Linked DNA regions of Ovis aries. The protein of the gene in region 1 interacts with the protein of each later gene in a pairwise test. Links are inferred from orthologs where the notes say so. Each region holds a gene or a part of one and is shown on either strand. Other genes may lie near its edges.

Region 1 (6,940 bases):
CCCTCACACCCCCCCTCAATTATCCAGGGCACCTGCACCTTGCTGAACTCGGCCATAAGCGTGCTGTTCTGCAAGCGGAAGTCCTCCTCCTGGCTATGCAGCTTTGCCTGAAGCATCTCATTTTCACTCAGCAGCCCCTCGACTTCCTGCAGTGGCAGATGTAAGCCGGGTCTCCAACAAGGGTAGAAAGGATGGAGCAATAGGGCAAAGAAACAGAAATGGAGAAAATGACATTGTGCGGAGAACACAGGGTACAGAGAATGGGATGGGTGAAATCAGGAGATACAAGGGGAAATAGAGATAAAGGAGGAATAAAAGAGGAGATAGGGCGGGAGAAAAAGACAAGGGAGAGAATGAGAGGAAAAGAGGGGTATATAGAAATTGGAGAGAAAGAAAACAGAGAGATGGGGAAAGGAGGTTAGAGAGGAAGGACAGAGGGATGGGGAGGGGGAGAGAGAGAAAAAGAAAAAGTAGGACGATGGAGAGATAGGAACAAAGAGGTCAACAGAAGGAGGATGGAACAGAGAGAGGGGGTCAGGAAAAGAAATGAACCAGGAAAAGAGAGAGGAACAGGGGAGTAAGGAAAAAGGAGTCAAGAGAGACAAAGAAAGGGAAAGAAGAAATGAAACAATGGCAGAGATAACGGGTGGAAGAAAGACAAAGAGAAGGTTGGGGAGAGAAACAAGAGTCCAAGAAGAACAGGAAGACAGAGACTGAGAGAGGCTCAGAGAGGAGGATAAAGAAAAAGGGAGAAAGACACACAGAGAGAGACAAAACAGGAACACAAAAGACAGACACAAAAACACATGGCTGGGAGGCAGTCACAGATGCAAGTGCACACACAGAGAAAGAAAGGCCAGTGCAAGGAGATCCCAGCATACCGAAACATCCCCTCTAAGGCAGTCTACCAGACACATTTACCCGCCAGGGGTCCCCTTACCTGAGCTTTCTTGCTCTTGCTCAGTGCCTAAAGGTGAGGGGGATGGGAAGAGAGATAAGGTGAACAGAGATGGACTCCTTCACTAGGGTATGGAGAAATTGTGGCAAATGTCAAGGGGGCACAATGATAACAGGGGTTGAGGGACGGGGGTGTCTATAACCACAGAACCACAGAGCAACAATTTATAGCCTAAAGGAATGGAGTGAGTGAGTGAGTAAGGAGCACCCTGCTTACACCCTTTCCTCTAAGCTCTTGAGCTTTTCACGGGTCATAGTATTTAACCCTTCACAGGCTGGATCTCTGGGCTCAGAAATTATGGCTTCATTGCTACATCTGTCCAAACATATCTATGTGGATCCCTCCAAAGAACCATGGAAACTGCTGTTCCTCTGCTGGGCAGCTGAGGACACTGCCAATTTGGGAAATCAGCACCCTATCAAAGACAGAGAAGCCCAGCTTTCTGACTGCCAGACTTTCTGCATTCTGTATTCCTTCATCTAGCAAATGTTTATGGAGCACATACTATGTACAACATTGTGCAATGCTTGGAGACAGAGCAGTGAAGAAAGAGACAAAGGAGGGCCTTGAATGCCTTAAGGGGCCATGACAGGTTATATGCTATCTCACCTTCAAAGGATCTGAGAGGTAGGTTTAGTCTTACTTTACCAACAGGACTAGGACGGGGTGGGGAATAGGAGCACAAGGCAGGAATATGAGTGGAGGACAGAAGGCAGAGTCAAGATGACTTACTGATAGATTTGATTATTTTGAGTAAGTAGTTGAAATTAAAAATGAATTAAGAGTAAACTAAAATTAATCAATAAATTAAACAAAATTAGATAAAATTACCAAACAAAGGAGAATTCCATGAGAAATTTCTGAATGACTAATGACAACATGTAACATTAGGTTACATGCTGGTTCACTGCAGGTGCTCACTGGACAAATGAATGAGTCAGATGGCTACAGGGAAACTTGGGTGAGTGAGTAGGTGGAGGGAGGTACCTTCTGAGCTTTGTTGAACTCCTTATCCAGGTAGGCAACCTTCTGTCGAAGACTGGTGAGTTCTGGTGTGGGGAAAGCAGGGAGTCTCAGCTTCAGTCAGTGGTAAGGAGCTGAAAGGTCTTTCTGCCAGGCCTCTGTCCCCCAGAGCCACCCCCATCTAATGAGACCCTCTTGGCTTACCAACACCATTCTTGCGTAGTTCATCTGAAAGCTGGTAGTTGTTTGTCCGGAGTTCTAGTAGCTGAGCCTGAGAGGGAAGCATGGAAGGAAATGACTTGGCAGGAATGTGCCCCCTACCTTTATGAGGAGTGAACCAACCCTCTGAGCCCCAGAGACCCTGTTGCCCTTCTTGTGCCTTTTTAGTCACTCTTAAGACCTGTGCCTGCTGCATCCCAAATGAGTCCAGCCACTCAGCCCCTGTCCCACCTTCTCCAGTTCTACTTATGACCACAGCCAGCCTCGCCCATCTCCCTGCTGCCTCCACCTCTCCCCTTTCAGTCCAACTATGACCCCAGGCGATGCCACAGTGCTGACCCAGTCCATCTCTTGTTCCTGTGTGTTCCATGGCTCTCCGTGCCCTCAGGATGAAGTTGGCCTCCTCACCCTGGCTGGCCTCATCACACACTAAACACTTTTCAGTCTTCTATCAGAGGTGTTGTCTATCCTCTTGGCCTGAGTAGGGGGCAGGGCACTGCCTTCTTCCCTCTTTCCCAAGGGAAGAGGATTTGGTATAATGACCAATTTCACTGAGTAAAAACGGGCTCCCTGGGGTTCCCACAAGCAAGGCTCTCAAAATGTCCAGATCCCTTTCAAGAATCGAGGACAAGTGAAGTATGGGCCATTCCAAACAGCATATCCCTACCTACCAGCCCTGCAGGGCACTGAGGCCAGTTCTTCCCAGAACGACCATCCCTTACAGCACCAGGACCTTTCCCTCTCTCCCATGGCACTAGACTCCATCCCTGGATGGTCTGCTAAAGGGGAGAGGGCTTGGCCCCTATACAACTTTCCTGCCCCTGTCCACTCCTGGACCCTCTCCTCCTGATCCAATGAGAACACCCCTGGCACCCAATTAAGAGTCTCTATCCATCAGAGTCCAATGGTTTTCCCTTCACTCATGACTAATGGAATCAATCTTCCTCACTCAAGGGTCTCCTACACCCCACAAGATCTTCCCAGTCATGATCCAATGAGATGAACCTATACCCTTCAGGGTTTTTCCCCCCACAAGGCCTTGGATGGGTTAGGTGGATTACCCTTACTCACATGGGATAACCCTTATGCACAAGTTACAAGGGCCTTCCCCTTTTATGGTACAATTATCTCGCCCTTCCACCCTCAGGGTCCTTCACACAGTGACAACTGGTTTCCTTCATTCAAGGACGAATGGATTATCTGTCTTCACTTGGAGTTCCTCCTGTCCTCCCACAGACCCTACACAGGGTTTCCCCCCCTTGAGTCTACCCACACACAAAATCCAATGGTCTTCCCCAGTAAGGAACTATCTCAACAAGGGCCCCCTTTGGCCTTTCATCCCATCTCTGAGCCCCACCAAAAGAATCAAGTGGTCAGAATACTCAGGGTACCTTCCCAGAGCCCGGTGATCTCCTCTCCACGTGGTCCAAGGGTATCACTCTTTCACCTCCTCTGGTTCTCTCTCCAACAAGGATTAATGGTATTACCCATTCAGGGCCTTCATCACCCCAGCCCTAATGGGATCACCCCTAATCATCCAATGGTACCACCCCTTGCACAGAAGCTCCACCTCCCAGGAACAATGACAACATGTGGGGTCTTTCCCCAGTGCCCTGGCATAGTGGTATCTCCCACAAAAATGTCTACCTCCCACCAGTAATGGTATTGCCCTCTCCAGGGCTCCCCCCACCATGACGCAAACAACCAAACGCCCGCTTCCTTCCTCTCCAGGCAAAATGGTTTCGCCTTCTCAGGATCTCCTTCCCCCAAAGCTCAGCAATATAATCGCCCACCTAGGGTGTCTCCCACACGAGCCCAAAGGTCTCGTCCCCTCCAAGTCTCAGTAAGGTATCACCCACGCTAGATCTCTCTTCCACCCACAAGGCTAACAGAATCCAACTGCTGAGAGCCCAACAGTTTCTCGGAATCCAGTAGTCTCACCACTCGGAGCCTCAGTTTCCCTTCTCCAGACCCCTTAGACTCAAGGTCCATCCCAACCAACCCCTGCTCAAAGCTGGTGGCACAATTTCTCTCTTCCCCGCACCCCCGTCGCCTAGCCTGCTTTTCCCCGCCAAGCGGTACCTGCATCCGCTGAAACTCCTCTTCTGACAGAGCTTGCGCCATGTTCCTCCCCCCCCACCCCCCCAACAGCTTTCTGCGCCGACGCGGTTTGTCTCTCCTGTCAGTAGAATTGGGTCGGACCAAACCACCGGGCAGGAATAGAGGGGGAGGAGTCTACTCCGGAAGTTCAGCGTTTTGGAAACCGAGACAAGAGAAAAAAAAAAAACTGGCCGGTTAAGTGAATTGCAGTTTAGTATTTTACCAGAATCCAGGTCATTAGATCTGGTTTTTGAGCTATCATTAGACTACTCATTGTGATGCGACACTGTGACATTCCTGTGTCATGGGACTCGTCGCTAGGGAAGTGTTTGCCGACCGAAAATCGCGCTTCCGCGGTACTCCTTTAAGGAAAATGGTCGGCTTTACAGTGGAAATGAAAGCGGAAGCTTTGCGCGTGTCTTGTTCCGGCCCTCCTCCGGGTGACCCCAAAAAGGGAATCCCGTTTCTTGTGAAGCCCTTGGCGTGTTTTGTTTTGTTTTGTTTTAAGATTTGACGCTGATTTTTTTTTTTTTAACATGATACTGTTAGGTAAAGGGCCCAGCCACCAATAAATTTAAAATACCTGTGAGGAAAGAATGGCAGTGAATCAAACGAGAAAGCTTCACTTAAAAAACAAAACTAGGATAGCAAAACATCAGGAACATTTAAATAAGTGTTAAAATGCATTATAAACGTCTCTTGTGCTTACCGGCCACTGCTGCAAACCCTGCCACCCAAGCAGTAGTTTTTATTTGGGAAAGAAAAAAATTAGCATGTTTAGCAGCAACATATCTGGTACTAGGATATGCCCTATTTTCTCTATCTTTTTTGTCTTTTTAGTGGGAAGAGGAGAAAAACGATTTTATGCCATTTTAAACTTACAGAAAAGCAAGAATGCTATAAGGGAATGTGCTTAGTCACTCAGTTGTGTCCGACCTTTTTTGACCCCATGGACTGTAGCCCGCCAGGCTCCTCTGTCCATGGGGATTCTCCAGGCAAGAATGCTGGAGTGGATTGCCATGCCCTCCTCCAGGGGATCTTCCCAATCCAGGGACTCAACACAGGTCTCCCGCATTGCAGGCGGGTCCTTTACTGTCTGAGCTACCAGGGAAGCCCATAAGGAAATTACCTGTACCCTTCTGCCAGCTTCATCAGTTGTTCACATTTTGCCACCTTTCCTTTATCATCCTGTTTTTAGATATAAAATTTTTGAACTATTGACTTCAGCATCCATCAATGATTTCCTAACACCAACATTCCTTTGATATTTGTTAGTTATTAATCTACTGTAAGAAAGAGCTTTCTCTTCTTCCCCATTTATGTGTTTAGATCTGTACAGACTCATTATTTTATTCCATAGATTATAATCAATCAGTATCATTATTTCCTTTGATGCTCAAATTGTCCCAGATTTAGCCAATGGAAGCTCCTTCAGGTTGACTTTTGTGTCCCTTTGACATGGCCCCATCATTTTTTTTTTAAAGCATTTCCTTGCTTTCTGGCATTACAAGATGCACCAGACTCAACATTATTCCTTTTTAGCCCCAGTTGAGAAAGTGTTCATTGCTACTAGAGTGTAATTTTTTCTATGCCGTCTCAGTGTACAGAGCCAAAAAATACATGTATATGGACTAATTCATGTATACACACATATCTATTATATCTAGTTACGTGTTTTACTATAGGTATATATATTTTTTATTTTTATTTTTTTGGTCATGCTGTGTGGCATGTTGGATCTTAGTTCCCTGACCAGGAATAGAACCTGCACCCTCTGCAGTGGAAGCAAGGAGTCTTAACCACTGGACCATGGGGTAAGTACCTTTTATTTTTTAGGTATATGTACTTTAAAAACATAAGTACACTACTAATAACTTCCATTTCAACACAACACACAAGATTCATTTTAGTTTCCTCACTTTTCATATTCTTCTCCAACAGAAAGAAACCTATCTCCCACTGTCCACAATAAATGTACTTATTTGTGTAATCATAATGCACATTAACTCCAGAATTGCTTACCCATAAACTATGAAAAACAAATCTATCAACTAGAGGTCAATACTTTTTTACAGCTTCTTTTGTCTTTAGATTCCTGTTGGTTTCTAGTCAAAATATTGTGTTTAACAAGACTACCATAGCTTCAGTACAATGCAGTTCCTTTTGTTTTTAATCTGATGGTAGTCAAAATACTGTGTCCAAAATTTGCTTGGCTTGGACTTCCCTGGTGGTCTATTGGTTTAAACTCTGAGATGCCAATGCAGGTGGTGAGGTTTGATCCCTGGTCAGGGAACTAAGATCCCACATGCCAGTGGCCAAAAAGATTTTTTAAAAATTTGCTTGGGTTAGTGCTCACTCTCCCTGATGCCCCTCCCCCATGAGGCTGCATGATTCATTTGAAATATGGTTAGATTCCTTTGTTTGTGTTTGAATTCCATTTTGCCCTTCCCTCCACCTCCCTGTTGAGGTAACCAACCTATTTAATTTCTAGTTTATCCTTTCTCTTTCTTTTCACACAAATGAGCACGTGTGAAGAGGAGCAGAAATGCCACCTCCAAATATGCCACTTTGATTTGCATCGCTCTAATAATTAGCGATACTGAGCATCTTTTCACGTAGCTGTTGGCCATCTGTGTCTTCTTTAGAGAAATGTCTACAAAATGTGGTACTTTGGTGTGTGACTTATTTTAAGCTGTAAAG
Region 2 (5,851 bases), on another chromosome or scaffold:
TAAAGGGTTTTGGCCCATATGAACATACTGCCTATTTAGAAGACTACAGTGAAAAAGTACTGCTGAAGAATTCTGACACATCCGTGTATGTTTTTCACTTGATGTAATTACGATTTTGATGATTTTAGGAGAAAAAGATCTTGACAGCTTTATGTGTGTTAACTTATATGCACTGTCTTCATGGGTACCAAAGGGGGAAGGCGATCTAAATAAGTTGAGCCTGATTGTACTCCACACAACGCCAATTTTAATGTTACCTACTTATGCTATAGACTCTTTAAAAAAAAAAAATAACAGTACTGTACCAAGTTGAGTAACTATTTTGTTGCTGTTTTCAGACCAAAAGCCCACCGAGGAGTGGAGCACCCCTCTTTCTGCTGAGACCAGAGGTCTGTCTGGGCCCCAATACTCTCCCGCCGCCTTCCCTGCCCCACCCTCTCTGGCAGTTCCCCTCTCGCCTCTCCTTTACCTTCCTCTCTCTTCTCCCTCAGCATTTACAGGTGCTAAGACTTCTTCCATTCCTGAAACCTCTCATGTTAAATTAACCCTCTGCCTCCTCCTCCAGGGAGACACCCAGGCTCTGCTTCCTCATCTCCTCTGTGCTCAGTTGCTCCATTCCTCCCTGCATCATTCTGCTGGTAAAGATGACTAGTGACTTCCTCTTGCCCACCCCACCGGATACTTTCCAGCTCTAGATGAAAAGTAGATTCATTTGATAATGAACAGCCTTTTGGCTGGATGTGGCAGAAGTTACACTCGTGTTCCTGGGTGTCTTCCTGAATCTCCGGCCTTCCCCGCCTCCTCTCCTCCTTCGGTCTGCAAGGCTTTGCTCTGGGCCACTGCTCTTCCCACTCTTCACTGCTCTCTGGGGGGTCACATTCCTTCCCCTGGGGCACCTGCTCCTATAGACCGACGGCTCCCAAGGGAGCACCACCAGCTGGGTTCTTCCCACAGGTTCCTGGATGGTGCCCTGTGCCTGTTCCAGTGATGCCACCCAGGGAACATTTCAAAACACAGCCACCCTGCTTCCCGTGAACTGGCTTCTCCTCTGGTTCTGCCATCTCATCACTGAGCTACGCAGCTGTGACATGGAGTTACCTGTGGCTCCTCCTCTCTTGATCCCTGCTCTTCCAATACCCCACCAAGCCGAAAGGCCCTGCCCTGCTATTTGGCATCTGAGTCAGGATGCCACTGCCAACATGTTTCTTAGAGTCATCTATGTCTCTTCATCTCTGCTCCTCATCCTTGTTACAGCTTTAATCAGGCATCTTTTCTTGAATTACTCAAACATGCCTCGGTTGGTATCCTGGCCATCAGTCCTGGGCTCCCTTTGGTCCGTCTCTGATGTGACCGCCTACACACACGACGTGTCTCCAGCCACAACCTGACCATATCACTCTCTGCCCCCCACCCTCGAATGGCTTCTCAGCCCTACAGCAGTGGTCCTCTATCTTGGACGAACATGAGAATCACACGGGACAGCTTTTTAAAATGATGATGCTGAGGCCTTAACTCAGCATCTCCAGAGGTGGGGCCTAGAATTCAAATTTGTGCATATCCCAGGCGACTCTTGCGTCCAGCCAAGGTGGGGACTCAGTCACCCAGGGAGCGAAGTTCGAGCCTGGGTGAAGACCACTGGCCTGGCTGCTGCCTCTCCTCAGCCTTCTCTCCCGCCATTCCCCACTGCGGTCTTTCTCTTCTAGTGACTGCAACCTTCCCCCCAGTCTCCACTCATGCTGCCCCTCTGATGGCCTACCCTCCTCCCCACCCCCACGCCTGGTTCCTCCTCACACTTTGAAAGCCTGAGCTCAGTCACCGTCTCTTCCTAGAAGCTCTTCCTGATATCACCTCCTAAACAAGCAGGCTCTCCTTTGTGTGGCCCCAAGATCTGGCGCACTTCTCAGTTACTGTATTGACCACACTGTGTTATAATTATCTTTTGACTGTTTCCCATGAAAGACAGTTTCTTGAGGGCGAGGGCTGGGATTAATTTATTTTTGTATCCCCGCACTTGACAAAGAATAGGCATTCAGTTAAATGAATCAATTAAAAATGTAATGCCACATGTGATTTTGGTGATATTTGAATAAAAATTAACTCTAATAAATGACAACTATATGTTATTTTGTCAGCTGCCTATAGTAGAGTTGTTTTAAATTTATTTTTACTGAAGCAACAAGTAGAACAATAATGAGACAGGTCACTACTGTGACATGCTCAGTTAGCTTCAGAAACAAATTCTCCATGATGCCCGATCTGTAACCAGCAGCATTAAGCGAGGTGCCCATAACTCATTTCCCCTCACACAGTTGCTTCTCTGCCACCACACAGCTGAAAAAGTCCCTGTGAAGGAGGCCTGGGCTTCCACCTGCAGTGTAGACAAGACCTCCAAACCCCTAAGAGGTCACTGCAGGTCGGCAGGTAGAGAGAGGAAACTCCATGACCAAATCACTCCTGGAAATACTGAAAAGTGACGCTACTGAGCTAGAGAGGAAAATGTGCTAAAGGAAAGTTTATTAATGGGAAGTTCTTACCTGATTCAATTTTGTTAAGGATTTTTCTTGCACACTGTACAAAGGCCTCTTCTACATTCTCCCCTGTGAGTGCGCTTGTTTCCAGAAACATCAGCTCTAAAATCAACATCAAACAAAACATGAAGCCATATTTAGAAGATAATCACAATTATTCAACTCATAACCACCTGCTTAATGTATTATTCTCTTAGAATAGCAGACAAAATAGAATTCTGTCCTTATAACCAGGTATTTCTGCAAATAGAAAATCAATAAATGTCCATACATACATATTTTTTAAGTCTTAAAACAATTCCAACTTTTTCTGAAAAGTAACTGGCAGTGTGTGCTAGCACTCACATGTGCCGAAGAAGAAACTAAGCGAGCAGGACGCTGGCGGAAAGCAGTCTGGCCGAGGCGCCCAGCTGCTGGCATAGGGCTCAGCAGCAACTTCTTCCCACAGGCTTCAGGTCGCCAGACACAGCCTGCAAGTGCCGGCGCCGGGGGCCACGTGGCGTGTGGTCCCTGACAGTGGGAGGTCTTATACGAACGAGCCCTCTGCTCTCCACTGGGTGGTCACTCACCCAGGCGAAGGCCTCTCTCCTTGCTTTTGTGAGCAAACCACAACCTCTCCAGACACTTGTTTCCTTATTAGTCAAAATGAGGTGCATGTAAATGATAGAGAAATTCCTTCTGGGCATTAACATTCTAAGCTTACATATTTCTAAACAGCTTCTTTATAAACTCATAATGGCTTATGTTTTTATTGCATGCTTATTTTCTTAGCAGAAAACCTGTTTGTGGGAGTGTAAGTTGGCAGTTCTAGAGTCCCATTGAAAGTTGCTATTAGCGTATTTTATTTCCTGACTGGTTCTAAAAATTAAAGTTATTTTAAAATGTCTGAATTCTCGTCATTTTGCTGTCTATAGGGAATCGTTCATTTTATGTGTCATCCTTATGTATTCTACATAAAAATTCAGCAAGTTTCAAAGGCTAAATCTTTAGCCAAATGACTTAAATTTAATGTAAGCAAAATAAAGCCAGTAAGTCCAGTATCTCATCTACTGCTTCACTTTCTATTTAGATCTAATATTTCACCAACTTAGCTTCAAATTACATTTTAAAAATGATAACATCATCTGATTAGGGCCTTTAAAAATTGTTATAATTCTCACTTCAAACCAAGAGCTGTGATATTAAAGATGCCAAACTGGAACACCATCACAGAGTGCAAAGAGATCAGCTTCTATCATCACAGCAGCCTCTGCAGGCACAATGCAACAGGGTGAAAATATGCTAGATGTCCAAATGTCTAATGGCAACAATAGGAGGTTCCACACTCCGTAAATACAGCTTCATCTTAGACCTCCAGTAGCTGTGACAGGTGAAAGGCCACTTGCCATTTTCCTGAGCAAATCGGGAGGCCTCCAGGAAAGTGACTTCCCGATCGGTGTCCAAGTCCTTCTTGTTCCCGCAGAGGATGATGACAATGTTCTGGCTCGCGAGCATTCGGGCATCTGTTAACCAATTAGTAAGCGCATTGTAGGTTTCTCGGCTGCGTAATATAAGATTGTGAGAACAGTACATGTATTTTATAAAGCTAGCAACTCTTTCCAGTCACTCACACCACCTCTATACACGCAGGGCAGTGCCCACGACCTTCAAAGCACTCAGAGGACCTGGGCGCCCCAAGAGCACACCACATGCCAAGGGTGTGTTCCACCTTGTTTCCAGGGAGATGCCACAGCGAGTCAGACAGCTTGCCACCGGCTGTTTCCCCAAGCAGGGTGCGGTTATTTACTCGGGTCTTGGTTTACACAACACGCGAGCAAAACCTAAGGCTAACTGCTGTCACTCGACGAATCCGTGCAACATGACGGTCCTTTGTTTCACAGGAATTTATCACATTGATTCTCTGCGACACACTCTTATCATCTCCCATTTACACGAGAAACCTAAGGCCCAGAGAGACTGGTTTAAGTTGCCCAAAGTCACACACATGGAGCCAGGACTTGACCAGGTCTGTCTGCCTCCAGGACTGTGTTCAGCTCTTATCTATCTAAGGGCAAAATCCTCGTATATTCTAAGGACCGACCAAGGAACTGAATTTTTCATTGAATTTAACTGTGACACCAAGGTGACAGCTACATGCAGGACAGTGCACTCAGATCCTTAAGATGGGCCAAGAGCTTTATAGGAACCAATTTAACCACCCAACAGCCTCACGAGTATTATGTGGTCACCATGACTCAGTGGAACAGACAAGGAAACTAAAGTCCAGAGGGCTCACACTGCTTTGGGACAGGAACCAGGATTTGAACCCAGGCCACTGCAGCATAGAGCCCGTGCTTGATGGAGGACAATTACTAACAATTTACCACGTGCAAAACTTCAAGCTGTGAATCTTAAGGAAACATGACGACACAGGAGATGCTTTATCTATCTGAAACTTGGGAACAGGTTTCACATGGTGAAGAGGTGAAAGGGGCTGCTCTGAAAACCTGCAAGACCCTCAGGGAAAGGGCGGAGGGTCTTGCTGAGTCCCACCTCTGCTGTCCGCTGCCACACCAGCGGCCTGTGGGGAGGAGCGGGCCCCAGGGAGCATGGGCTGAGTAGGGGTGTTATTACCTGGTGATGTCGTAGACAAGCAGTGCCCCCGCTGCGCCTCTGTAGTAGCTTCTTGTCACAGACCTGGAAGAGTTACAGGCTTTTACTTTCAAGGGAGCAGAGCCCTTGCTCACGAGCAGCAGCCTCCCATGCAAAACACCCGTTTTTGGCCTTGACAACTGCAATACAGTGCCAGATACCTCTCTAAAGAGAAATGATACAAAGACATTTGAAAGCAGACACGAAGGGCTGTTCTGTCCAAAACAGGATCACAGTAGTGATAAGGAGGTGGGGCCATGAGGCTGGGGACGAGTGTGCCCCTCATGGAGTGGGGGGGCCCCGCAGAACTGAGGGACCTTTGAGAACATGTAGGGGAAAGACAGGAAGGCGGCAGCAGGGCTACAGTGCATGAGGCCCTCGGTGGCTCCTCTGCTTGCGTGGGGTCGCCTTCCAGGGCACGGGCTATCACACGCCCTGCCCCAGGCCCGGAGGTGCAGCTCATGCTCCCTCCCTCCTGGGGGCACACCAGTCTGAACTGAGCGCCCACCCAGGTACAACACGTCCATTCTCACAACCTCCAGAGTTTTCCTTCAGTAAACACTTCCCTGAATCATGACTTTCCCTGTTCATTAGATTTTCCCAGGGGCAGAATAAAATGTGCTCGGCACCTCCTGTCTTGAACAAGCATGGTGCAGGCAGCAGGAGGCTCCTGCTACTGTTCCAAAGGGGAT

Evidence for each region. The genes of interacting proteins can lie anywhere in the genome.
Region 2: the proteins of GRIPAP1 (region 1) and RAB4A interact in binary tests that used the Homo sapiens proteins (3 or more experiments, as listed by UniProt). The link is inferred for Ovis aries from reciprocal best matches to the Homo sapiens genes GRIPAP1 and RAB4A.

Annotation. Positions count from the first base shown.
Region 1 is NC_056080.1:56,090,714-56,097,653, reverse strand, and holds the start of GRIPAP1 (GRIP1-associated protein 1), read right to left. Parts: upstream 4,273-6,940; 5' UTR 4,265-4,272; coding exon 4,223-4,264; intron 3,655-4,222; coding exon 3,532-3,654; intron 2,193-3,531; coding exon 2,126-2,192; intron 2,008-2,125; coding exon 1,946-2,007; intron 968-1,945; coding exon 941-967; intron 147-940; coding exon 39-146; intron 1-38. UniProt on the Homo sapiens protein: Regulates the endosomal recycling back to the neuronal plasma membrane, possibly by connecting early and late recycling endosomal domains and promoting segregation of recycling endosomes from early endosomal membranes.
Region 2 is NC_056078.1:808,122-813,972, reverse strand, and holds part of RAB4A (ras-related protein Rab-4A), read right to left. Parts: intron 5,205-5,851; coding exon 5,142-5,204; intron 4,069-5,141; coding exon 3,914-4,068; intron 2,631-3,913; coding exon 2,535-2,630; intron 1-2,534. UniProt on the Homo sapiens protein: The small GTPases Rab are key regulators of intracellular membrane trafficking, from the formation of transport vesicles to their fusion with membranes.